Linked DNA regions of Coturnix japonica. Each later gene encodes a partner of the first gene's protein in a complex. Links are inferred from orthologs where the notes say so. Each region holds a gene or a part of one and is shown in the gene's direction. Other genes may lie near its edges.

The links.
Region 2: MED1 (region 1) and MED12 share a complex: the UniProt entries of both Homo sapiens proteins name them as parts of the mediator complex. The link is inferred for Coturnix japonica from reciprocal best matches to the Homo sapiens genes MED1 and MED12.
Region 3: MED1 (region 1) and CCNC share a complex: the UniProt entries of both Homo sapiens proteins name them as parts of the mediator complex. The link is inferred for Coturnix japonica from reciprocal best matches to the Homo sapiens genes MED1 and CCNC.
Region 4: MED1 (region 1) and MED13L share a complex: the UniProt entries of both Homo sapiens proteins name them as parts of the mediator complex. The link is inferred for Coturnix japonica from reciprocal best matches to the Homo sapiens genes MED1 and MED13L.
Region 5: MED1 (region 1) and MED23 share a complex: the UniProt entries of both Homo sapiens proteins name them as parts of the mediator complex. The link is inferred for Coturnix japonica from reciprocal best matches to the Homo sapiens genes MED1 and MED23.
Region 6: the proteins of MED1 (region 1) and PPARA are in contact, whole or in part, in a crystal structure (PDB 9IWM), measured with the Homo sapiens proteins. The link is inferred for Coturnix japonica from reciprocal best matches to the Homo sapiens genes MED1 and PPARA. Residues at the interface, in NP_004765.2 of Homo sapiens: Asn638, Thr639, Asn641, His642, Pro643, Met644, Leu645, Met646, Leu648, Leu649, Lys650; in NP_001001928.1 of Homo sapiens: Val284, Thr285, Thr288, Glu289, Lys292, Phe297, Leu302, Asn303, Gln305, Val306, Thr307, Leu309, Lys310, Pro458, Leu459, Glu462, Ile463.
Region 7: MED1 (region 1) and MED7 share a complex: the UniProt entries of both Homo sapiens proteins name them as parts of the mediator complex. The link is inferred for Coturnix japonica from reciprocal best matches to the Homo sapiens genes MED1 and MED7.

The regions. Positions count from the first base shown.
Region 1 is NC_029542.1:3,842,918-3,847,102, reverse strand, and holds the start of MED1 (mediator of RNA polymerase II transcription subunit 1), read left to right. Parts: upstream 1-1,385; 5' UTR 1,386-1,562; coding exon 1,563-1,590; intron 1,591-2,447; coding exon 2,448-2,554; intron 2,555-3,013; coding exon 3,014-3,092; intron 3,093-3,476; coding exon 3,477-3,531; intron 3,532-3,661; coding exon 3,662-3,794; intron 3,795-4,120; coding exon 4,121-4,149; intron 4,150-4,185. Other genes in the region: CDK12 (cyclin-dependent kinase 12), read right to left, coding at 1-629. UniProt on the Homo sapiens protein: Component of the Mediator complex, a coactivator involved in the regulated transcription of nearly all RNA polymerase II-dependent genes.
Region 2 is NC_029519.1:2,301,195-2,304,694, reverse strand, and holds part of MED12 (mediator of RNA polymerase II transcription subunit 12), read left to right. Parts: intron 1-156; coding exon 157-292; intron 293-573; coding exon 574-735; intron 736-1,292; coding exon 1,293-1,670; intron 1,671-1,984; coding exon 1,985-2,135; intron 2,136-2,329; coding exon 2,330-2,535; intron 2,536-2,979; coding exon 2,980-3,060; intron 3,061-3,297; coding exon 3,298-3,500. UniProt on the Homo sapiens protein: Component of the Mediator complex, a coactivator involved in the regulated transcription of nearly all RNA polymerase II-dependent genes.
Region 3 is NC_029518.1:64,955,311-64,958,810, forward strand, and holds part of CCNC (cyclin-C), read left to right. Parts: intron 1-645; coding exon 646-713; intron 714-1,041; coding exon 1,042-1,121; intron 1,122-2,483; coding exon 2,484-2,602; intron 2,603-3,106; coding exon 3,107-3,161; 3' UTR 3,162-3,500. UniProt on the Homo sapiens protein: Component of the Mediator complex, a coactivator involved in regulated gene transcription of nearly all RNA polymerase II-dependent genes.
Region 4 is NC_029530.1:10,337,043-10,341,190, forward strand, and holds the start of MED13L (mediator of RNA polymerase II transcription subunit 13-like), read left to right. Parts: upstream 1-1,348; 5' UTR 1,349-1,450; coding exon 1,451-1,522; intron 1,523-4,148. UniProt on the Homo sapiens protein: Component of the Mediator complex, a coactivator involved in the regulated transcription of nearly all RNA polymerase II-dependent genes.
Region 5 is NC_029518.1:51,943,080-51,946,579, forward strand, and holds part of MED23 (mediator of RNA polymerase II transcription subunit 23), read left to right. Parts: intron 1-444; coding exon 445-625; intron 626-1,553; coding exon 1,554-1,724; intron 1,725-2,961; coding exon 2,962-3,178; intron 3,179-3,500. UniProt on the Homo sapiens protein: Required for transcriptional activation subsequent to the assembly of the pre-initiation complex. Component of the Mediator complex, a coactivator involved in the regulated transcription of nearly all RNA polymerase II-dependent genes.
Region 6 is NC_029516.1:65,574,271-65,577,770, forward strand, and holds part of PPARA (peroxisome proliferator-activated receptor alpha), read left to right. Parts: intron 1-1,119; coding exon 1,120-1,567; intron 1,568-3,061; coding exon 3,062-3,309; 3' UTR 3,310-3,500. UniProt on the Homo sapiens protein: Ligand-activated transcription factor. Key regulator of lipid metabolism. Activated by the endogenous ligand 1-palmitoyl-2-oleoyl-sn-glycerol-3-phosphocholine (16:0/18:1-GPC). Activated by oleylethanolamide, a naturally occurring lipid that regulates satiety.
Region 7 is NC_029528.1:6,561,722-6,564,976, reverse strand, and holds MED7 (mediator of RNA polymerase II transcription subunit 7), read left to right. Parts: upstream 1-1,160; 5' UTR 1,161-1,266; intron 1,267-1,473; exon of another isoform or gene 1,474-1,501; intron 1,502-1,684; 5' UTR 1,685-1,702; coding exon 1,703-2,395; 3' UTR 2,396-2,755; downstream 2,756-3,255. UniProt on the Homo sapiens protein: Component of the Mediator complex, a coactivator involved in the regulated transcription of nearly all RNA polymerase II-dependent genes.

The DNA.
Region 1 (4,185 bases):
TTATAACTTTTGGGAGCATCCCTTTTCCGATGGCTTTTACTTCGCTCTTTGTGGCTGGACTTGAGCTCCCGATCCTTCCTGGACTTTTCCTTGTGCGCTTTGGCTGAGCGGGATTCCTTGTTGCTGCTCTTTGAGGACGGGGCCTTCGGGTGCTCCTCGCTTTCAAGCAGTCTCTTAGAGGACCCCGATACCCTGTCCTTGGTAGACCCGGACCTGCTGGAGGCCTCCAGGCTCTTTTCCAACTTCCTCTCTTTCTCTGCCTGTTTGCTCTTCATCAGCTCACGGATACGTTTGTGCTGGTGGTGTCGATGTTTCTGCGTCCTTTCGCTCCTATCCGCTTTCCTCTCCTCATTCTCCCTCCTGTCCAACTTAAGGGCCAAATCATCCGAGAACGTATCCGAATCCGAACTGATATCATCGTATTCCACCAACGGTTTGATCACAGCTCCCAGAGGCGCCGCCGTCTCTTGGGCGGCCAACGGTGACTCCTTGGAGTGCCGGGATTTATGCCTCTTATGCCTTGAAGCCACCCGGTGCCTCTCCTTGCTATTGGAGCTGCCCGATGAGTGCAGCGAGGTCCCCCCGCCGCCCCCATCCTTCTTCCCCCCATGTCTCTCTTGGTTTGGCATTCCTCCTCCTCCACTGTGCTGGGACAGGGGGAGGCGGGGGCGCTCCTCCAAATCCTCCTCGACTTTCCAACTCCCTCAGCCTCCCTCTATTCGAACCATTCACCGCCCCCCGGCACCTCCTGCTGCATGGGGAGCGGGACGGAGAGAGCGAGGAGGAAGGGAACAACGGGGAGAGGGAGAATGGGAAAGGAACGGAACCGGGAGCGGCGGGGAAGGACACCGGGCCTCAGCGCCTCATCCGAGGGGCCCAGGCCCGGAGGGCAGCGCCGCCGCGGGGGGAGCCCCGGGAAGGCGGGAGCTGGGCCCACGATCCCTCCCGGTCCCGTTGTGTCCGGTTCCCTCCCGCCCTGTCCCAACCCTCAGTACCGGGTTCCCACCGTGCGGCCCCGTTCGGTCCCCGCCGCCCCGGCCCGGCCCAGCGCCCCCCGCTCACTTCCCAAAGCGAAACGGCTCCTCGGCCCAAGGGGGGCACCCGCCAAGTCTCGCGAGATAACTGCTGCTTCTCGCGAGACTCGGCCTGAGCCCTCCCCCCGCGAGATTTCAAGCGCTGAGAATTGGGAAGGCGGAAGGGAGTGCGCGCGCGCGCACCGTCTTCTCGCGAGGTCTGAGAACGAACTTTACTCCGTCCCGGGGAGCGCACGAAGCCCCGCCCCTTCCGCCCGCTCAGCACCAATCAGCATCCAGGGGGCGGGGCTTGAGCGCAACGCCCCGCCCCCTAATCACTCCCCCTTCTCACCATGACTCCCTACCTCTCGCGAGACTCAGAAGTTCTCGCGAGAAGCGGGAGCCGCGGCCGGAGGGATGGCGGCGGGCGCCGCCGTGTGAGGCCGGAGCGGAGCGGCCCGGCCGCGGTTTATCCCCATCCCTTCCCGTTTATCGACGTGATACCGGCCCTGTGGCTCCGCCGCGGGCCGCCCCTCCCCTCCCTGAGGCATGAAGGCGGTGCCGGGAGGCGCTGAGGGTGAGTGCGGCCTAGCGGGGCTGCGCTGTGTGGAGGCGGAGGGAAGGCCCGGCCTCCTCGGGATGGGGGGGGTTCCACAGCTCGAGGGACGGCGGTTGGGCCTGCAGGGAACGGCGGAGCCCGGCCGTGGGGTCCCAGTGGGTCTCTATGGGGTCTCTATGGGTCCCTATGGGTCCCTATGGGTCCCTATGGGGTCTCTATGGGTCCCTATGGGTCTCTATGGGTCCCTATGGGTCTCTATGGGATCTCTATGGGTCCCTATGGGTCTCTATGGGGTCTCTATGTGTCCCTATGGGTCCATACTCACCATGTGTGGGTCGTCGGGTCCCCTCCCCACTTTGGGTCTCTATGGATCCCTATGGGTCCCAGTGGGTTTCTATGGGTCTGAATGGGCTTCAATGGGGTCCCCATGGGTCTCAATGGGTCTCAAAGCTGGGCATTAAGCAGCTCCAGAGCGGGGCTGTGGTGGATGGAAATAAAGGCTGATGGGCTCCTGTGGTAGCGAACCGTTCGGTTGTTTGTTCTGCTTTGATTTGATGGGGTTGGCATTAAGTCCATGACATCTGTGTGTATCAGTTTATAAACCCTTCTGATTCTATAGGCCTTGTAGGGTCATGTTCTATGGCAGTTATGTTGCCATAGACTTGTGTTGGAGCCAGAAATACCTGGTATCAGGGAGATGCCTTCCATAACAATGTAACTTAATAAAGTGCTACAATGAGTTTTAGAGCCCCACAATGTATAGATTGGATTCAGCACACATTTATAAAGGCTGAGTGTGTCCCGGCTTGGAAGGGCTGTGCAATCAGCTCACGTTCTCTTTTGTTTCTATGTTTTCATTCCGCTTTGTCTGACAGAGGCAGAGAAGCTGAATAAGATGAGTGCTCTCTTAGAAAGACTTCATGCAAAGTACAACCAAAACAGACCTTGGACTGAAACCATGAAGCTGGTCCGTCAAGTCATGGTGAGAAGTGCTGGGGTTTCCTTTACAGTGATGCTCAACACTCAGTGTTATCTCAGTCAGATGCAGCTTTGAAATACCTTGGTGAGGGTAGAAAGGAGTGGGAGGCAGGGAAGAGCATCATCAAAAGCTGCTGTATGTGTTGTGGTGTTAAAGTTAATCTCTCTTTGTTTCTCTTGCTCCTCTCATATAACTCGTAGCTTATGCTATTTAAGAAGTTGTTGCAGTCTGATCTTTCACAAGAGCAAGCTTAATAATCAATTCCAGACCTGCCTGTTTTACCCACTGCAAATATGGATATGATTCTGGTACAGGAATCGCAATGAGGGTGTAATTTGGGGATGAAATCCAATCTGCCTTTAATTACCTGAATAAACCTCACTCGACTGAATGAAAATTGCAGTAATTTTCCTCTCATGGAGTGAAACTTTAAAACGACTGTTTTTCTTCTTTCTGACGTAGGAAAAACGACTTGTGATGAACTCTGGGGGGCACCAACATCTGGTGAGCTGTTTGGAGACCTTGCAAAAAGCATTAAAAGGTTGGTACGTGCTGTGCCTGCACTCAGGAAATGCTTAACAGTGATATACTATGGAAATACTCTGTATTAGAGGAACCTGCGAGGTTATTGCTTGCAAAGCTCAGTGTGCTCGTGGTGCTTATAGAAGCATGCTTATTTCTTGTGAGTCATTATCAGCCAAAATTGCCTGTGTTGCTTTTATTCTTATTGCCCATACATGGATTCCACTTGTGGATGAAAATCCACACTGAGAATGTTTGTTTTTCTCTATGCAAAACGATTCTTGTTTTTTGAGTATGGAGTGGGTGTGAGTAAGTAGTTGGGATTGCTTTTAATGCTGATACATCATTACTGGAAAGATGTTCAGTCGTATCACTAAGGCTTATTTTTGCTTTCTTTGTCTAGTGTCTTCTCTGCCTGCCATGACAGATCGCCTGGAGTCCATAGCCAGACAAAATGGGTACATCTTCTCCTTTGTTTCACAGCAGTTTTGTATCTCCTACTTATCTGTATACATCATAATTTTGCTGCTGGTTTGACTGTTTCTTGTGTGTATCTCTTAGTAATTTTTGCTTTGTTTTGTATTTAAGCCTTGGATCACACCTCAGTGCAAATGGCACCGAATGTTACATCACTTCAGACATGTTCTATGTGGAAGTCCAGTTAGATCCTACAGGGCTGCTATGTGATGTCAAGGTGGCTCACCATGGAGAGAATCCTGTGGTACGTATTGCTAAGAAATACAAGAAAAATACCTTTGTTTTTGGAACTGCAGTTTTGCTTCCCTTTTTCTTGTGCAGAGAAAATGGATTGTACTGAACATTCCCCCAAACCTAATGTTATATCTGCTTGTTCTGCTGCTTCTGAAAGTTTCATTTCTGGGGGAAGAATAGGGAAATTAATCTTGTATTTGTGAGTGTTTTGTTGCTTCTCATCAAAACTGATGCTCACAGACTTCACTGTCCTGATATTTTACAGCTGCTGTGCTGCACAAAGACTTACACTGAAGCATTTGATGTTGATTTTGCTGTGTGTTCTTTCCTTTTCAGAGCTGTCCAGAATTGGTGCAACATCTGAGGTGAGCAACAAGAGCTGTTGCATCATTCTGATTTTG
Region 2 (3,500 bases), on another chromosome or scaffold:
ACCAAAGGGAGGATTAGCGTGGGAGACTAGTCTGAAGAGCACTCGGTACTTCTGGCTTTATGCACTGCTTTTAGCAGCCTAGTAGTGTCTGGTGCTACTGTGATGGCAGTGACTTTGATTCTTCTGTGACTTTGACCTTTCTGCTCTCACCAACAGTGAGCTCTTCACCACTGTGTTGGACATGCTGAGTGTTCTCATCAACGGCACCCTGGCTGCTGATATGTCCAGCATTTCTCAGGGCAGCATGGAGGAGAACAAGCGGGCATACATGAATCTTGTCAAGAAACTCAGGGTGAGGGGCACCACGTCCTGTACAGGGAGCTGCATGCTGTGCTGTGGCCATCCTGCTCTGCAGAGATCTGTCTCACATAGTACTGGTTCTGTTGTTTAGAAAAGCAGTGGGGGTTGCCCTGGTGGCTCTGTGGGTCTTGAGTTGAATGGTGCAAAGATGACAGCTAATGCAGAGGTGGAGGCTGGCACCAGCAGAAGCACGGGTGGGATTTGTATGTTGGTTTTGGTATTTTTTTGTTTTTCTGAGGAGTTGTTGAAGAGTTCTCTACTCCATTTGTGCAGAAGGAGCTGGGGGACCGGCAGTCTGACAGCCTGGAGAAGGTGCGACAGCTGCTGCCACTACCCAAGCAGACCCGGGATGTCATCACCTGCGAACCTCAGGGATCCCTCATTGACACCAAAGGCAATAAAATAGCTGGTTTTGACTCCATCTTCAAGAAGGAGGTACGTGGAGCTTTGCTGACTGCATCACAGCTCCTTAGGGCAGGTGCAGCCTTGTCCTCTGATGCCTTGAGTCTTCATTGCTTGGGAGGCATCAGTATGCAGCTCGTTGTTGCCTGCCAAGCCTGAAATGGCTGGCTGCACGCAGGCAAGCTGGCGCATAACTATGTCTGAAAAGGGCAGAGCTGGGTGTTAATTCTCAGCAATGCAGGCTACTACGGTCTGAGAAGTTATTTCAACTTTTATTTTGTAATTGTGGCTGTATGAAGGAAAAAGAGCCATAATCCCTGACATGTGACTTAACGGGTGTTACCAGTGTGCAGCAGGAGATTGGCAGAGGTGGAATGAAGGAGAATGCCAGTTGTTGATGAAGGGCTTTAGAAATGGCTGTATTGCCACATGGAAGAGCAGCTCTGACTGTCTTTGTGGTTGTTGTGTTTTGTTGGTTTTTGGTTCCGTTTTTCCTGGGATACGTGGAGTGGGGTCTGATGGAAGTGTCCTTTACTGTGGGAGGAGAAAAGATAGGGGTCTTGGAGGTTCTTATTTCTTTTGTCTTAAAGGGTTTGCAAGTCTCTACGAAGCAGAAGATTTCCCCTTGGGATCTGTTTGAGGGCTTAAAGCACTCAGCTCCCCTCTCCTGGGGATGGTTTGGGACAGTCCGGGTGGACCGCAGGGTGTCTAGATTTGAGGAGCAGCAGAGGCTTCTTCTGTACCACACACACTTAAAACCCAAGCCCCGCAGTTACTACCTGGAGCCATTGCCTCTGCCCCCTGAAGAGGAGGAGCCTCCTACACCTGTGGCTTTAGAGCCAGAGAAGAAGGCTGTGGAACCAAGCAAGGCTGATAAAACAAGCTCCAATCCTGCCACTTCTACTGAGGAACGCAAGAAGAAACAGAGCAAAACCAAGAAACGCAACCAGTCTGCCAGCAAAACTGAGGTAATGGACTGTCCAACACATATGGATTTTCTGTGTCCAGCCCTGATATTTTAGCCCTGAGCCCTCCCTTCTGAGGGAGCTGCAGAGAAGTAGTGGTGAAGATGAAATGTAATTTTTGTCTGGGTTTTCTGGAGCTTTAATGCCATTCCTGCTAGCCTGGGGTTGTGCAAACATTTCCTTATTTTCTGATGGGTGGGAAGGAGGCTTCCAGCTCAAAGAATCCAGGCTTCCTCCTGTGAACTATTCCTGCTCTCGATCCATTCATGAGTTCTCAGTGCACACTGATCTTTTTTACTCCCTTCTTTTCCTTGCAGGATTTTGTGTTGGGTCCCAGCCGAGGGGTTTCATATGGAGTTGGCATGCCTACGGATCTCTTGCATCACCAAGCAGGAAGCACTATGTCTAGGCTGGCATATGGACAGTCACCAGTGGGTCTCTATGCCCAGAATCAGCCTCTTCCAGCAGGTAGGTGTGCAGGAAGGAGGTGTGTGTTGCATCTCTGTGGGAACCTCGTGTAAGAACTCTGTCTGAGATGGTCCTACGCACTTTTGTCCCTCCTGCCTGTTCTATTTCCATACATATTGATGAGCAGTTGTTCTGAAGCTCCAAGGCTCAACAACAACACATGACTATTCAGTCTGTTCCTGTTCCTCTTCCAGGTGGCCCTCGCCTGGATACATCCTACAGACCTGTGCGCATGCCACTGGGGAAACTTGTTCAGAGTCGTCCTCCCTATAGTGGGGTTCTGCCTTCAGGGATGGGAAGCATGATGGGCATTGACCCCTCCTACAAGCCAGCAGTGTACAGACAACAGCCTCCAGTGTCCCAGGGACAGATATTGAGGCAGCAACTTCAAGCAAAGTTGGTATGTCAGAACTGTGCTCTTGGCAGCCCCCACAGCACAGCAAGCCTTAGCTGTTTATTAAGGGTGTCCAGTCTAGCCAGAACTCTCAAATCCTGTCACCCTCTTTGCCCTGGAGAAGGGTCCCTCGTGTCTGTTTATCTGGGCAACTCTGTATTTGCCACTGGCTTTGTTGGATCTGTGTCTGTGAGTGAGGTACACTGGGGACATCTGCAGTTGTTGGGCAGTGAGAGGAGCATATCCTGGTGTTGGAGTGATAGGATGATAGTGGCTTATTTACCCAAGTTGAGGTGAAGCAAAAGTTACTAGCATCTGTATGCTGTGGAGCAACCTAATGGGTTAATCAGTGAAGCTACTTGTTGGATTTGGTGGGAGCTTCTGAGAGGGGAGAAGCAGTGTTCCTGGCCTTTGGAGATGTTGAAAAATGGTTCTTCTGTTGCCTTCCAGCAGGGCCAAGGCATAATGGGCCAGCAGCCAGTACGCCAGATGGCTCCAACCCCGTCCTATGGGGCACTACAGCCCTCCCAGGTGAGTCTGAGTGACCACAGGTATGACTGGAATCTGGCTTCAGTGCAGGGCACTCTCTTCATTCCTGCTGTTAAATCTTGAAATCTCTTAATGCTTCACTTGTTTTCTGGCCAGCAGAATCTGAATTCTAGATGAACAGTCTTTGTGATGGCATTTACAGGAGGATGATCTCCTTTGCTGCGAATTATTGTACCCTACTCTGTGACTGACAAAGGGTTTGTTTTTGTTTTATTCCAGGGTTACACACCTTACGTCTCCCACATAGGGCTTCAGCAACACCCTTCCCAGTCAGGCACAATGGTGCCTCCTACGTATTCTGGCCAGCCGTATCAGAATTCCCACCCCAGCTCTAATCCTGCCCTGGTGGATCCCGTCAGACAGATGCAGCAGAGACCAAGTGGCTATGTGCACCAGCAGGCCCCAGGCTATGGGCACACTTT
Region 3 (3,500 bases), on another chromosome or scaffold:
TCCTTTCAGCAAGAAAGCGAGTGTTTAACAGTTATGCCTCAGAGATGGCTTAGCAGGCTAAATAATACAAAGGGTATACTAGTTAACCTATGCACACGTGTCACTGGCTTAAATTATTGTTTTTAACCCTGTAATGGTTTCTACTTTGAAATGCTCTGGTTTTTATTTTTAGAACAGCTCCAATAGCACCATTTTTACACTGTTAAATGTCGACTTTGTGTAGACACAGCTATCTTTCTGTTAGAGTCAGCTTTCAGTAAAAGCAGTACATGGTTCTGTTTCTTAGACTGGTAAAACAGAACTCCTTAAACACTTTAATTGTTTCTCCAATACAGACAATAAAAATACTACCTTTACTTTTGCTTCAATTTGCTTATTTGCGGAGCAGGGATAATTAATTTATGGTAGAAGAGAACACACTCTGCAGAATGGCACTGATGATGTTATAATAGTGTTTCCAAACAGACTTCTGCAGTGATTGCAAGGAAAACAATGGTTGTCTTTAATAGACTTTTAAAGAGGAAGAGATCTCACTTTCTCTATTTTGCCCTGTATACTCTTTGTTTCTACCACATGGGTAACTGGCAAAATGTTTATGAATCATGTAGTCTAAAGGAGTTGTTATGCTCTCTTTGTTTTGCACAGGAGGATAGTGAATGACACGTATAGAACTGATCTTTGTCTGCTGTACCCTCCTTTCATGATAGCTCTAGGTAAGTAACACAAGTAACGTCACTGTCACCTTTAAATAGATGCCTTCTGTACTTTGTCCCATCAACAAGTTTTCCTTAGTACGCTCTCTTAAGCTTCTCCAGTTTATATTTCATACAGTACTGACAGTATAACCTTGCAACTTAGAAAGCCTTGAAGAAAAATCAGGTAATTAATCCCCAGATTTCTTCTTTGAAAACTCGCTGAGATTTTTTGCAGAGGAACTGAGGAACTCCAAACACCATAGAAAAGTACCTGACTTGGAGAGTATTTCTAAGTGTATTAAGAGATACTCAACAATGATTCACTCTTATCACCTGATCTTTGCAGCTTGCCTACACGTGGCCTGTGTTGTCCAGCAGAAGGATGCGAGGCAATGGTTTGCTGAGCTATCTGTTGATATGGAAAAGGTACTCTCTTTTTACCTCCTGCCCTCTGCTATGGACTGACTAGAAATGTTAGCAGTGGTTTGAACCTGTTTTGCATGTGTGTGATACTGATTTGAACTTCATTCAGCAATCGCATTACGGACTATTGAAATTAGGTAGGAGATAGGAAATGTCAGGTCATTTGGGTATCACTCTGCACTGAAAGACAAGACATAAGGGCAGAGCATTGCTGCTGTTGCCATTTTACAGACTGAAATAGAAAACCAGTATCTTGTTTGTTTATTTAATTTTTTTGCTAGAAGAAAAAAGAATTCCCAATATTTATTGCTCAAGATTGAACAGTATTCTAATAAACAACATATGTTTGACATGTAAGGTTATCATAGGCTTGGTGTTGAATGTGTTTGAATGTTTAAACGTTTCTGTTCCCATTACCAGTGATTACATCTAAGCTTGATTTTTTTTAAAAAAAATTAATTTTTAGATTATTATTATTATTTTTAACCTTTAACACTATGGAACTTCATAGCCAAACATAGTTTCTGGTTCAAGGATGTATATTGTTCTAGCATTTGATCAAAGTCCATAAACTGGAAAGAAGTTTACTTCATTAATTTAGTAAGTGGCGAAACAAATAATGAAGCAAACATGGTTTGATTTCTGGGTGGCACTTTGTGAAGCTGGAGTTGGACCTGATCCATGTGGGTCCCTTGCAAGTGGGGTTATTCAGTATTTATCCACCTTCTGTGTAGAATATTGCACTAGAAAATTAACAGGAAATTAATGTAGCCTCCAAACTGGTAGAGAATATTTATACTTCTGGAAATAGAGTTTGAAAATTCAACAGTTCTTATTATAAAGTATTGAGACACTTCCTAGCTCTTGATTTTTTTAATTTTATTTTTATTATTATTTTGGAAGTAAAGAATTCAGGGCACCGTTGGTTGGTTTCATTTGTTTTTAGTACTGTGCCCCCATGGCTGGTATAGAACACAGACAATAATCAGTTACTTCATTTGTAATCCGTAATCATTTAGCAACAAACACGTTGCCAAGTGTCCTTGTTTTCCCAGTAGCATCAAATATAAGCAGCCGTTCGACTTTGGGAGGAGAAATGGTTGATAAAGTGGGAGGGAAATGGAGTGGGAGAGAGAGATATTGGTTCTGTCAGGCTTCAGTTCAACAGTTAAGCCAAAAAACTCTTTGCAAAAATGGTTGATTGCCAGACCGGATTATATAGGAGACAGCTCTGTTTCTATCATGAGAATTATGCTTCTTAATTTGAGTTTGAGAAATGGATAATTAACTGTACACTGCAAATGATGATATAAATATAAAAGTCACTATTGTGATTGACCTAAAATGTACTTTCTTTCAAATCAGATTTTAGAAATAATCAGGGTTATTCTGAAGCTGTATGAGCAGTGGAAGAACTTTGATGAGAGAAAAGAGATGGCTACTATCCTTAGCAAAATGCCTAAACCAAAACCACCTCCAAACAGGTACCATACCTCCATTATTTACTGCACCTTTCATATGGGAAAAAATAAAGTATTATCTTATGTGCTATGTTAAGTTTGAGGCATAGTGTATGACTGCACTGCCGGCTTTCCTCTAAGTACCCAGTCAGACTGTTCAGGAGGAGAATATTTGCTCTTTCATGGAAAGCAGTAATGTAGTTAGAATCTGATCAATACAGTTTAAAAGGAGCAGTGTGAGGCCTGATGAAAGGGCACGATTCTTTAGAACAGTGCCTGTTTGATGTCATGTTTAATTGCTGTGATTAAATATCATTACGTGGAATCTGCACGTGCAAATTCCTATGTGTGAGCTTCTGTTATGGGAACTCTGAAACGCTGATTTCAGGAGTGAATTCAGAATGGAGTTGCATTGGAATATTTTGAAATCGCTGTTCAAATACATGAATAAATGTTTTCTGTTTGCAAAAGACAGAAATGCAGTACGGTGCTGCTGTTCTGAGACGTGTTTCTTTTCCTTTCAAACAGTGAAGGAGAACAGGGTCCAAACGGTAGCCAGAACTCTAGTTATAGCCAATCTTAAGACATTCCAAAGAACTTCTTTACGGACCACTTTGACTCAAGACATCCTGGGATCTTTCCTGTGTTCATGAAATGGACAGAATTTTTTTAATACCATCTTTGACAAAGAACTTGAAGAATAAATAGCTTGTTTGTGTCAAGCATTTTGGAAGTTTATTCTTTAAAACTGCATCATTTTCTCTGACGCTGGAGCAAATGTACTAAGATTTCTCAGTGTAAGGAATCAAATGTTAAACCAAGCTGCAGAAGGGTAACACTGTCCACTCAAAACAAGTAGTTCATTACTGGTTTGGTTTGCTTTGAGAAAATTGTGGCTTGCCATTAAAAGTGATTTTTATAT
Region 4 (4,148 bases), on another chromosome or scaffold:
CAGTGAGGGTGAGGGAGCACTGGGACAGGCTGCACAGGGGGGTGGTGGAGTCTCCTTCTCTGAAGATATTCAAGGTTCACCTGGACGCTGAGCTGAGTGACCTGCTGTAGGGAACCTGCTTTGGCAGGGGTTGGACTCGATGTTCTCTGGAGGTCCCTTCCAACCCCTACGATGCTGTGATTCCGTGATTTCATAGCCGAGTTCCACACGTCGGGTATCTCCCAGGTCCCTTTACACCAGTCCCACCACATCGGTGTGCGAAGCTCCTCCGGACACTTGGAGGCCCTACGAGCCGGGCCAAGCTCTCGCTGTGAGCGGGACCCTGCGGGGCAGTCCGTGCGTTCCCGCTCTCGGATCCAGTTCGCGGACTTGGCAGGTGCTGCGAGACACCGCCGGCTGGAAGGGGCGGCACAGCGACCGCACAGCGGCCGCCCCGAGGCCGCCCCCCGCCCGCAGCGCGCTCCTCCCGCCCGGAGCCCTCAGGGCGGCGCCCAGCAACTTTCCCCCGCCCGGGGTCGATGGCCCCGCTCCGCTGCCGGCCGCAGCTCCCAGCTCCCGGCACAGCGCCCCCAGCGCAGCGCCCCCAGCGGCGCGGAGGATCTTTGCGGCGGAGGAGGGAGGGGCCGGGGGGAGCCCCAGCGCCGTGCCCCCGCCCTCCGCCGCGAGTCACGTGGGGAGGCGCCGACCAATGGCGAAGCGAGCTGCGGCTGGCGGCCGCCATTGCTGTCAGAGTGGAGAGAGGCAGAGGCGAGTGTGTGAGGAGGAGCGGGTGAGCGGGGCCGCCGTGCGGGCAGCGCCAGGCGGAGGGGGGCGAGGACGGGCACGGACAGCGCTCCCACTCCGGGCCCGGGCCGCCGCCCGCCTCCCGCAGCACCGGGAGACCCGCACGGAGCGTAAACAAGGCGGCGGCGGCGGCAGCAGGAGGAGGAGGAGGAAAACACCATCCACCCACCGCCAGCGGCGGCAGCAGCGAGGGGCGGCCGGGCGGGGCGGGGAGGGACACGGGCTCCGCACAGCGCCCCCCGCCCGCCGTCGCCGCCACTGCCCGCCGCCCTCCCCCGCCCCGCAGGGGCCGCCGCCGGACCGCGGGAGGAGCCCCGAGCCCCGCCGCGGCCGGGGGGGCCGGCGCTGGACGCGGAAGAAGGGCCCCGGGCCCCCCCACCCCTCTCCTCCTCCTCCTCCTCCTCCTCTACCTCCTCCGCGGTGCTGAGGCGGCCTGGAGGCCCGCGGGAGGGCTGCCCGCCGCCGCCGCCGCCTGCTGAGCGGCCCCCGCCGGAGCGGGCCCCCGCCGGAGCGGGCCCCCGCCGGAGCCGCCTGAGCGCCGCCCCCCCGCCCGCCGGCACAGCAGCGCTCCCGGGGCAGCGGGCAGCGCCCGGCAGCGCCCGCAGCCTCCCCCCGCCGCCGGGCCCCGCTCCTCAGACATGCCCCGCGCTGGGGCTCGCCGAGGATCATGACTGCAGCGGCCAACTGGGTGGCGAACGGGGCCAGCCTGGAGGATTGCCACTCCAATCTCTTCTCGCTGGTGAGTGCCCGAGGAGGTGAGGGGTTGGGAAGTGGGGGTTGTGGGGAGGGCGGGCCGGCACGGCGGCTCGCACCGGGCGCTGCGGGTTTGGCGCCGGGTGCGGCTGCCGGGGGCTTTATAGCCCGGGCCGTGGGGCTGCTCCTCCGCTGGCCCCTCCCCCGGCGCGGCGCCCTCGGCCGTGTCTCTCCGTGTCTCTCCGTGTCTCCCCGTGTCTCCGCTCGGTGCCCCCGGGCCGGGGTTGCTCTATTGTCGCTGTGACAGCAGCATTAGGGCGGCAGCGGGCGGGCACGGGGCGCTGCGCGGGTCTCGGGCCGCTGTCAGATCCTGGTACGGCCCCGCCTGGCACAGTGCCTGCCCCGGGACACCATGGGTGCAGAAATAATCATTTATTCCATCCCTGGGGTGAAACAACCGAAGATGTTGTCTGCCGGGTAGCACTGATGCTGTATTTCTCCGTCGTTGGTAATGGACAACTTTGTACTTGGATTGATTGTTTGGTTTAATGGTGCAGGAATTATGTTATTGGCTGTTTCCACGCAGAAGCAGCGTCCCTTGGAAGCCGGTTTACCAGCAGGCTGTGCACCTGCTGCCCACAGCCCCTGTTTCTGGCTGGGCATGGCCGTGCTGGGGGGGCTGGCAGCCAGGTGGGGTTGGGGGCTTGATGTGTGTGTGGGAATGCACGGTGCGGGGTGGGGATGGAGGGGGGGGCGTTGGGCCCTTCCCCTCTGTGAGCGCTGGATGTGGCTGGTGGTGGTGGGGTCTCATTTCCAGCAGAAAGGAGGGGAGTGCTGTTGGTTGTCTTGCAAGAAGGAAGGGAAAGAAGAAAATGGACTGGAAATGTGAATGATGTTTTTGTTGAACGTTTTTCTTTTCATTGCTGTGTGTCATTGTTATGCCTCCGTCTGCTGGCTTCTCTGTTATTTTGTTGCTCTTATTTGTTACTTTGTTCATACCTATGGAGAATGTGGAGCAGGAGCCCTCAGCGCTCAGCTACTGGGAAAGGAGTCCCGGCCTCCTTCTGTGGGAATGAATGCAAGTCTAATTTTGGCTTTTTCATGAACTTGTTCCATCACCTGGCCTTGTGCATGGGCTTTCCCTTGGCGGTGCTCTCTGAGCCGTAACTGCATGTAGGAAGCAGTGCTGTGTGTGCAGAGCTGTGGGAGCTGTTGTGGGGACTTTGAATGTACTGCTCATACATGTGAAGGAAGAATGGTGAGCATGAGGGAGACGGCTGTATGGATGGACAGAGGAACGGAGTGCTCTCTGCTTTGTGTACGGAGCCGTGAGGTCCCCATTTATTCATGGAAAAGTGATTATTTTTGAGGTGTGTAACTTTACATACTTGCAAACTGCAGGTCTGCCTTTGGTTAATAGAAATAATGGTTGGCATGCAATTGGCATCCGTCATGATCTGAAGTTACTACATAGTGACTGCAGCGTGGTCTGTCTGCTTTGTGTTTCACCCTGCTGTGCTGGGGAAATGGGAGCTTTTCAAATAGGGCTGTGATCCCGTCAAAATGCAGGTGGGCTTCATAGTAATTATGATTTTAATTTGTGATCTCTTTGTTTCTCAGGTAATTTTGTGGGAGGCATCCATACCTGTAATGTGGTACTGTGCATCCAGCTGTAATGATTTTATTATTTTCAGGGTCTACTTGCAAACAGAAGAATATCCATTATGTATATACTTGTATGTATGTGTGTGTATGTATGTATACACACATATATGTATATATACATATACATATATATATACAAATGTGCTAACTATTGGTGTGATTTGTTTTCAGGTAAATTGATATTTGTTATGGTTTATGTATCAGTGAAGGATACTGAAGAAGGAAATAGGGACTGGGAGTGCGTGGCCAGCAGAACTGACCTTACAGCCTCAAATTGTCCTACTCATTTAAAAACTTATGAAGTGTTAAAGGTGCAGTAGTTGGGGTTACTAATGGGAGAAAGTTTTGCTCATCACTTACTCTTTCAGTGCAACAGAACAGAAACATGCACAAATGAATCAGCTGTTGATGGGAACTCATTCACTTTGTAGGAGTGAGGTGAATTACTGAGCTGTATGAAACCCATTCTGCCATTAGACACTGAGTATTACAGTTCATTGTAAATCTCCAGCTTCGTTTTGGGCCTGAGTCAAAAAGAAATGTTCTTGCCTGGAGAATTACAGTTCAGAAATAGTACTTCTGTTTGTTCGTGTTGAAGCAATGTTTTTCCCCACAAACATTCCCTTTGTCTAAGGAGGAACAGCAGCTCCTGTGTCGGAGGAGCTGGGCTGTGCTGTACGACTGAGGTTGGCTTTGGGGTGTTTGTCACCCCATCATTTCCAGCTTGTTTGTCTGTCAGCTGTAGATGGACTTTAGAGAGATGGTGGCACTGCTGTTTGTTTGAGTCTTCATGGGGAAATATTCCTGGAAGTATCTTACTGTCATGAAAAATATTTTCTAAAGCTTTCTAGTAACTGTTTACGTTTTGTCAGTGGTGCCCGGAATGTGTAGAGGCTCTTAGTTTAAAATATGCCACCTGAGGGGAAGGCATAGTCTTAAGGTTATAAAATGAGCTCTGATCGTGCACATATCAGAAGTGATGTCCGGCACCAGCAGTGGTGTTCAAG
Region 5 (3,500 bases), on another chromosome or scaffold:
CCCTGGGCAGCCATTCCAGTGCCTGACCACTCTGAGAGAAAATGTTCCTTCTTATGTCTAATCTAAACCTCTTCTGGTACAACTTGTGGCCATTTCCTCAGGTCCTGTTTGTTTTGTTGGCAGAAGAGGCCAAGCCCCTCATCACATCCTCCCTTCAGGAAGTTGTAGATTGTAATGAAGTCTCCCCTGAGCCTCCTGTTCTCCAGCCTAAACAATCCCAGCTCCCAGTAAAATTGCATTGGGCTACTAGATATGCATATTATCTATGAAATCATATAAAAATGCATAATGAAAGCACGTATTCTGTGCCAGAGTACTGACTCAGTCATTCATTGAAAATATTCCAGGTGAAAATGTATTAAAAAGAGTGTGACATTTGTTGATTTGCTTCTAAACATTCTTGACTAGCTTTGTTTTTTTGGTTTTTTTTTTCTTCTATGATAGAGTACTAGAAAGAATTGGGGCCAGAGCTCTTGTGGCACATGTCAGGACCTTTGCGGATTTCTTGGTGTATGAATTCTCTACCTCTGCGGGAGGTCAGCAGCTCAACAAATGTATTGAGATTCTCAATGACATGGTGTGGAAATACAACATTGTAACACTGGACAGGTTGATACTTTGTTTGGTAAGTATAGTGTTAAAAGAGCTTTTCCTGCTTGGAGTTTGGTCCTTGCTTTCTGTGATGCTTTTGTGAGAACTTTTTTTTTTTTTTTTTTTTTTAAAGTGTATCAGCTTCAAATGTTGACTATTTGATAAGGAAAATAATAGATCAGTTCTGTAAGTAATGAAAAAGTCAGTCTTACAGTTACCTGAATCTGCAGGGGAAACCTTTTGTGGTTATTTAAAGACAACCATTGAAACATTATTATTGAACTTTATTTTTTGTGCTGTGGATCTTTGATCTCAGAGCTGTGCAATTATTTCTGTTTTTGGAAAAGTCAGGAGTGTAGTATGCCATTGTTTGGAAACAAATGGATAGCCCTGTGACTGCTAAAGTTATAGTCTTTTTGCTTGGAATTCAGCCTGTTTCATCAGAAAAATAGAGGAGAAATGGTATTCTGTCTTTTCAGGTTATCTTGTAAATTAAAGAAAAGCAGAACTTAGCCAGATAGAAATAAATTTTCAGTCATAATTGTACTAAGATGAGATTTTAAATTATAAAGCTCTTTGAGTTTTAATGGGGACTTCAAACTCAAGTGTGAATATGATAGAGTGGCTGGAAGTTCGAAGCAGCCTTAACCAATTAATGATAATGAAGCTATTTTCAATGGAGAGAGAAATAGAACTCTCAGGGAATATATTTGCACCAGGAATTTTTTGAGATTTTATTCTTTACAGAGTAGAAAAAGTGATGATTACTTTTCTCCAGTAGTGGTGGAGCCTACCTGTGTTCTGTCTACATTCCAAAAATACAGCTGAGAGACTATATTTTCACTGTGGATTTATGTGCAGATCTATGTCATGTTCAGCTATACTGGCTCACTACTGTCTAGCGGTTCTTAAGCAGACAGCAGCATCCACTCTGTAATTCCATGTTTTCTTTTTGTTTGAAGGCTATGCGTAGTCATGAAGGAAATGAAGCTCAAGTCTGTTACTTCATTATTCAATTACTCTTACTCAAACCTAATGATTTCAGAAACAGAGTGAGTGATTTTGTGAAAGAGAATTCTCCAGAGCATTGGCTGCAGAATGACTGGCATACTAAGCACATGAGTTATCACAAGGTATTGAAGTTAATAAAACCATTGTATTCTAATACTTCCTGTAGAGTTCAGATCAGCTAAGAAGTCTTTTTTTCTTGAAAATTACACGACAGTTCTGTAGATTTTTAGAGCTACTTAAGTAGTAATTTGTTTGAGTTAATATAGAAAAGCAATGCTGTGTTTATGTGATTGTGTTCAAATTATAATGCTGTAATATCCAAAGATGGGAGCATCTGAAGGGCTGATTAGAAACCCTTGTTCATTTAAATCCAATCATTTTAAAACTTTGTTTTTATTGAGATTCATCTAGGATGGAGTTCTTGTGCACCAGGGAGAAGGTATATTCCCTTCTGTTCTTATATGACTAGTACAACAGTTAGATCTACATTTTTCTCCTAATTATTAAAGTTTCTTTCATCTCCCGTGTGAGAAGAATACAATATCTAGACACGCCAGGGAAGAGAATTGATGAGATTTTAATGTTTTTGTAAACATATTGGCTTCTGCTGGCTAAAAAGAGATGTATGATGGAGCGTTCTATCAAAGGATACATAAATGCTGGATCAAAATAGGCACAACTAAACTCTCGTGCAACTAAGCAGATACAGTTCTGATCCGGGAGCCTTTTGGTCCCCATTTGCTTCTGCACTGGCAGTACAGTGTCTTAACTTTCTAAAAGTGAATATGTAGTTGAAGACCAAGTTATATTAATCTGGGAAGTGCTCTGTCATTGCTATAGAGTTACTGGACTCAGTGTGGCATGTGGAGGTTTCAGTCACAGGTAAATACTGTGCACGTGCTTCAGCTATATTCATCAGGTATTTGATTACATTCCAGATCTTTCCCTGGGAGTAACATGTGTCTTATTTCTGGTGTTCTGATTTAGTACATGATGCAAAAGCTTTCAGTGGTGTTAATTTCCTCTAGGTTTCCTCTTAAAACACTTGACAAGGGACACATAGCGACTAGTTGCTTTTAGCTTTGCCTTGGTTTACTTATTGCTCCCTTATGCTCCTTCAAATGATGGTGAAACTTATGGGATTTTTTCTGAATATGTATCTTCTAGTCATAACCATTGTGTGATTTCACTCAAAAGATAGTTTTTCTTCAGTAAGCTTTGTGCTGATAACCTCTTATTGCAGTTATGAGTGGTAATGAGGGTTATGAAGAGTCTTTTAAAGCAGTGTAGGTGCTGAATATTTAACATGGTGCTTTTAAAGAAATAGCTTTTAAGCTTGTTTGGTTTCTTTCCCTCCAGAAATATCCTGAAAAGTTGTATTTTGAAGGCTTGGCAGAGCAAGTCAATCCCCCAGTTCAGATCCAGCCCCAGTATCTTCCAATTTATTTTGGAAATGTGTGCCTGCGATTTCTGCCGGTGTTTGACATTGTAATCCATAGATTTCTGGAACTGCTTCCAGTGTCTAAGTCACTAGAAACCTTACTGGATCATCTGGGAGGTTTATACAAATTCCATGGTAAGTTGCCTGTGAGCTCAGGCTTTTATTCCTACTGTGGTGATGCTATTGTACTTCATCTCCTCCATGCCTAATAATCTGCTAACACAGTAATGTTTATTCCATTAATATTCTATGAATTGTGTGCACATTTCCACAAAGAAGTACAATATTTGATTAGTGCATTTCAGCCTTCAAACATCGAACATGCTTTCATTCAGGTAGCTTCTGAATGCATTGCTTCACACCTTTTCCTTTCACCCCCCATAGTAGTGAATACTTGGACTTCTGTCTTAACAGTCTTTCAGATACTAAGACAACAGAATACAGTTCTTCCAAAACT
Region 6 (3,500 bases), on another chromosome or scaffold:
GCTAAACAGTTTAATTTTCATTGATAATTCATCCAAGGTCTTGAAAAAAATAGTGAATGTTCTCTATGATATTTTACTTACAGTATTTTGTTCATGACTAATTAGTAGGTATTGTGAAATAGTTACTTAGCAGTTGCACAGCATCTGAGATTGTAGTGAAATTCCTGCTGTTTTGACAATGAGCAGAGTTTTCCTAAAAGTGATGGAATATGGCAAGGAAATCAATGTTTGACAATGAAGAGGTATCCTCTATATGTGATATAGAAGATAAAATCAGCAGTAAAATAAAAATCCTAATTTCAGTTAAAATTAAAAAAAAAGGCTGTTATGAAAATTGTAAGCAATCTATCTTCTAAACTATGGAATTTGGTGTATTATAGTCTAGCGTAGCCAAACACATTAATAATTTACCTATTTCTGAACAGTGCATCAATATTTGATTTCAGGAGATCCTAATTCTTGACATTACTGTAACTCATTGCAGCATAAACAAGCATTTTTCATGATGATGAGGTGTCATTTCTATATTTGGCTCCTAAGACCTTGGCAATACCTCATCAGATTGTAATGTATATCTTTTTTAAATGAATGGGGTTTTATTTACGGAAAAGAATGTGATCAAGACTGAAGTTTAGTGTCGTCTGACATCCTAATAGGATTCTGGTTTTAGAGATGATTTAGCTGGCGAGTTGAGCAAAATTTCTATGGAAGAACAGCTGTGACATAGTTATGAAAATCTGGTAATGAACATAAGAGTAATAAACAGGTCGTGTTTTTGTGACTTGTTGGACTAGATGGCCTTCAGAGGTCCATTCCAACTCTAAGGGTTCTGTGATTCTACAATTCTGTGTAAAAGTAGATTGAAGATATGTCATTCCTATTTACCTTCTGTTTTTTACCTTGTTGTTTGAAGAGCAGACCTGCTTGTAAACACTGCAGTTCATAGTTTTGTAATACATGGTTCTCTCTATGCAGATATATGAAAGAACTCAAGGTTTATTGATAGCTTAAAAACTGATTATTATGAAAATTAAAAGGTTTGTCCAAATTCAGTTCTTTAGCAAGACAGTGACTAATAGCTTTTATTTTATTGATGAATTAATACTGTTTTCTCCGTAGCCGTTTGTTATACATGATATGGATACCTTGTGCATGGCAGAGAAGACGCTGGTGGCAAAATTGGTTGCCAATGGAATTCAGAATAAGGAAGCCGAAGTTCGAATCTTCCACTGCTGCCAGTGTACATCTGTAGAGACTGTCACAGAACTGACTGAATTTGCTAAATCTATCCCTGGCTTCTCCAATCTTGACTTGAATGATCAAGTGACGCTATTGAAATATGGAGTTTATGAAGCCATCTTTGCCATGTTAGCATCTGTAATGAACAAAGATGGGATGCTGGTAGCCTATGGAAACGGTTTTATAACCCGAGAGTTCCTAAAAAGTCTGAGAAAGCCATTCTGTGATATAATGGAGCCCAAGTTTGAGTTTGCTGTGAAATTCAATGCACTGGAGCTGGATGACAGTGATATATCACTTTTTGTCGCTGCCATCATTTGCTGTGGAGGTAAGCGCTACATATTTATTCTTCGAGGCAATAATTCTAAAGCTGAAGAGGGTTCTAATTACTCTGTATTTTTAAAAGTGGAATGTAAAGAATGTTGGTGTGTTTTTGTTTGAGGTTTGGGGGATTAGTATTTTTTATGTTTAAAGGAGCAGTATTTACATTTACAAAATGGACAGAAAAGCAGCTTGTAATGAAGAAATGGAGACAGAGGTAGACTATAGCTTTGCTCAGCTTTGACTTGCTGATTGGATCATGTAATGAGTTCTGCACAAATGCAGTGCTGTTGATGCATGTCCTGCCTTTTGATTTTAGTACTGCAACTTATTTTCAAAACCCAACTTAATTAGCTAATTCCAAAAAATAATTTATGGTGCCTTAAAAATAATTTTATAGCACCTGGGAGCGTGGCTTTGTTTTTTTTATGCTCAGTGTTTGTGAGTGAAAGAACACAAATGTTATCCATTCCTTCCTACAGAAAGGACATTCATACTGAAGGTTAAATACAAAACTATTCATAAGCATTTTGAAAAAGAGAAATAAGACCAAGACAGCTCCAATGGCATGGTTGCCTGCTTTTTTTATATGCTGCCAAACTCATAAGACTTTTCACTACCTGTGGCAGCATCCTTAACAGTGAATTCTGTCTGTTGACTTTCAAGTGCTTCAAGAGCTAGTTTAGATAGTAAGTTCCCATCAAATCTTGAGTTACTTTTGCGCACCATATTGATATTTTGAGTTTTCAAAAGTCAAGAGAGTTCTTTGCAGGCAAAATGGTATTCTTCTCTTTTCTTCTCCTTGGAAATAGCTGAAGTTTGCAAGAAACAAATTTAGCTTGTGACCTCATAGTTCTCACGGAGAAGTTTGATCCAGAGAGTTTAAGTATAGGTCTCTAAGTAGCTGCAAGTGGGACCCTATGCTGGAAAGCGTGAAACGTCCTTAATAGGTACTTCTCTACGTCCTGTCAATAACTTATGCTATGGCAATATGTATGGGAACCAAGGGTGAAAGCGAGATATATTTTTTATCTTATTTTGATCTCCCAAACTTGACGAAGGCTCTAGAAATAGCCATGTGTTTTTTCACACTTATCCCTACCATTTGAATTCTTTTATCATGTCATGCAGAGTGTAGAACTGGATTCCTAGGCTGAATGCTTCCTTTAGTTTTGTGAGTGGAAGGGGTGGGTTTTGTGTTTGTTGGTTGTTTGTTTTTTTTTTTTCCTTCAGTAATACGGGTTGTATTTAGTACTATGAACTCTTTCCTCAAATAACTGTGGGCATTAAAAATGCTTTGACCTGAGGGCTAAGACTACATTTTCTTTAAAGATTTACTTTAAGCCTGTTCCAAAACCTGTTGAAGTTGATGAGGTTATTGTCATTGCCCTCAAGTGTACAATGTAAATTTACACCAGCCTACAATATAGAACCTATAAAGTAGCCTGCAATAAAGAATATTTCAAAATTTTTGACATGTATTCTTCTGTTTTGAGAATAGATCGTCCCGGTCTTGTAAATGTAGGACACATTGAAAAAATGCAAGAGAGCATTGTGCACGTACTGAAACTGCACTTGCAAACCAACCATCCTGATGATACCTTCCTCTTCCCGAAACTTCTCCAAAAAATGGCTGACCTCCGGCAACTTGTCACAGAGCACGCTCAACTTGTTCAGATAATCAAGAAGACTGAATCTGACGCACATTTGCACCCTTTACTGCAGGAAATCTACAGGGACATGTATTAAGGATTTTTAGTTGGTGTTGTTTTGTTTTTTTCCATGATATTTAAAGACAACAGCAATATTAATAATAGATGGGAGCAAAATCACTTGCACAGCTATCAGCTGTTCACTCGGTTCGGAGCATGAAAAGTGTAAAAGCTAAGTAACTGGAGTGCTACAGGTCTGTTGGTTTGAGCTCTTCTGTCTTCTTCTGA
Region 7 (3,255 bases), on another chromosome or scaffold:
AAACCCCTTTTTCTTTTTGCATTTGTTGGCCTCTACGTGCAAACTAGGAAAATGACTCAAGATCAAAAGGACGTGTGAAAAACAAATGCTTGGCTCCCTGCTACCTTTTGAAGTCACAGCACTGAGAGCTGTACTGAGCAGTTCACAGAGTGCAAGGCAGCTGATAATCGAGCTCAGCTCGTGGTATGAGAATGTGAAATCAAAGTCTGGAAAGTCTAACAATAGCAAAGACTTGTTAATATCCCCCACCAGGTGGGTTTTCTCATTCCTCTCTAGAAGTGGTGCTTTTAACTCCTTGTCTGTGGGGTTTGGAGTTGCAACAGTTTGCTCTGCAAACCAACACCTGCCAATCCTACAAAGTAGTGAGAGTGCACTGAAGTAATATTTAGAAACAACTCTGCCCTTGATAGGGCACGTAGACAGCGGCTCTCTTACCCTTATTCCTTCTTATGAAGGAGGTTACTGCCATCTGCTGAGGAAAAAAGGAAATCAGAGCACAAAAGCCGCATTGCCAGACCAGTGGCCATCTGCAGAAGCGCTGCCAGCCAGCCCGAGGTCCCACGGCAATATGGAAGACACAGATAGTTGTTTTTTTCCTTAAAATCTGTCTTAAACAAAGAAATGGAAGAAAAGCAAGAAGTTCCATCGGTTTGTTGCAGACTTTATGCATCCAGGCTGCATGTGTTCAGCTATAGAAAGGATGCTAACACTTCCCAGGGTGATGCTTTCACTTTGTGATGGAATAACACCCAAATTTCTGTTGCATGGAAGCTCTACATATATTCCCTGCATCATTCAGCAGTTAAAGCATTGCCATCACACCGGCGGCTCCCCACGGTCTGGGCACTGAGCTCACCAGAGTCCAGGAAGCGTCTGAACGAGGGCAGTTCTACGAGTCTATGAAAGCAGTCCTGGAATACCAAATACTAAACACCAATTCATGCAGAAGTTGGTCTCACAGGGAGTCTGATGCCGACAAGAGTCGGGCCGGCCGCTCCCATCTCTGCCATTCGAGGATCTCTGCCATTAGAGGACCCTGCTGGGACCCCCGCTGAGATCCCTGCCGTGCCCCTGGCAGCCGCAATAGGGCGCCATAGCCCAGGCTGTGAGTGGAACGAGCTCCTGACTGGCATTGCGGGCATCCAACCAAAGTCTACGACGCCATTTGAGCTGCGAGCCAATGGAGGGGAGGAGGAAGGAGAGCAGTTGCCGGATGTGAGGTGTTGGTGTCGGTGGTGGCGGTGGTGTTTTCAGCGCGGTGTGCAGGTGAGTGGGGTGTTTTCTTTGGGCCTTGTGTGTAGGACCGGCCCAGCCTTTGTTTCTGTTCAGCATTGCGGCTTTGGGCCCTCCCGGAGCCGTGCTGTAGTGATGGGCCGGGGGGGAGGGGGGTGCTGCTTTAAGGGCTGCCTCTCCCTGCCTGCCGTTGTCTGCCGCTCCCAGCCCTGGGATGCGGGCTTAGCGGATCAGGCCTCTCCTTCCTTCTGTGCCTCCTCGTTGGCAGGTCTGGTTTGAGAAGTGCTTAATGTGCTGTGTATGTCAGTGCAAAGCTGACGTGGATTTATTGGGGAGTTTCCTGCTATTTGCGTGCTGAAGAATCTCCTGTCTGGTTTGTTTTCTTAGCTTCATGCGTGCTGTGGAGTTGTCGCATAAGTTATGTAATGCACGTTTCTTTTCTATCCACTAGGTATTTTAATCCCCAAAGATGGGTGAACCTCAGCAAGTGAGTGCCCTCCCTCCGCCTCCAATGCAGTATATAAAGGAATACACCGATGAAAACATACGCAAAGGTCTGGCCCCAAAGCCACCTCCACCTGTGAAAGACAGTTACATGATGTTTGGTAATCAGTTCCAGTGTGACGATTTAATTATCCGACCTTTGGAAAGCCAGGGTATTGAGCGGCTGCATCCCATGCAGTTTGATCACAAAAAGGAATTGAGGAAACTGAACATGTCTATCTTAGTCAACTTTTTGGATCTCTTGGATATCTTGATAAGGAGTCCGGGGAGTATAAAGCGAGAAGAGAAACTGGAGGACCTGAAACTGCTTTTTGTTCACGTCCATCATCTTATAAACGAGTACCGTCCTCACCAAGCTAGGGAGACCCTGCGAGTCATGATGGAAGTGCAGAAACGTCAGCGTCTGGAAACTGCAGAGCGATTTCAGAAGCATTTAGAGCGAGTTGTGGAGATGATTCAGAACTGCCTGGCGTCCTTGCCTGATGATCTTCCTCATTCAGAGGGGGGACTGGGAGTGAAAACAGAACCAATGGACACTGATGACGGCAACAACTGCATTGGACAGAGTGAAAAACAGAGAGAACGTTCTGGCTGCAAGAGAGATCAGGTGTTAGACAAAGATGCAGCTATGTGCAGCATTATTGATGAAATGACATGAAGGAATCGTGTCTTATGTTAACTTACAATAGAGAGAGGCCAAATGGATTCTGAGGGTACATGCTGTATTTTGTTTGAAGCGTTCACACTGACTTGGGGGGTGGGTGTGAGCTGCTAAGCAGGTGAGGATATTTAATATTTTGTGTGAGTTATATGTGTATTGGTCAAAACATAACTCTGCTTTGTGCAGCGTGGATGCTGTTAGGTTTTTTGTATAACGTTGTTTTGTCACTTGCAGCTTTCTGGGATGTGCTTCATTTTGTAAATGCCGTGTGCTGCTGGAAGCAGGGGGTTTGGCTGACTGAAATGGAAGCTGACAATTCCTGCATTTCAAATAAATGTTAGTTGTTTACACGTTAAATGGGTCTTTTCAGTTATTCTAGATTGAAGATGAAATCAATATGAAGCCTGAGAAATCCATTCCTTTCTAACTTTTTGTAGTAATGTAACAATGTTAAAGAACTTAAGAATTGCTTTATTACACATGTAATGTGGTGTAACTTGTCTGTGCCTGAAGTCTGTCAAATGGAAGCTACATCAGTTGTGTTTAAAGAGAACTGGACTTGGATCAAGCCCATGGCACAAAGAGTGATTTGATAATGGATAAGTGGCTTCGTTACTCAAGCCCTCCTGTCTGTAGCATGTCTGCTTTCCAAACTAGATGTAGCACCTTTAAAAAAAAGAGAGAAAGAAAAGAAACAATCAACTTTGTGGATGAGGGAACTTACTATAACTACTTGTAACTCTCGTTATGCAAATTATAACTTGGATAATTCAGCTGTTTTCAGGCATGCAGATTTATTTAAATGTGCAGGTAGATTTTAACCATTGGGTGGTGGGATTGAGATCGCTGTAGCTAAA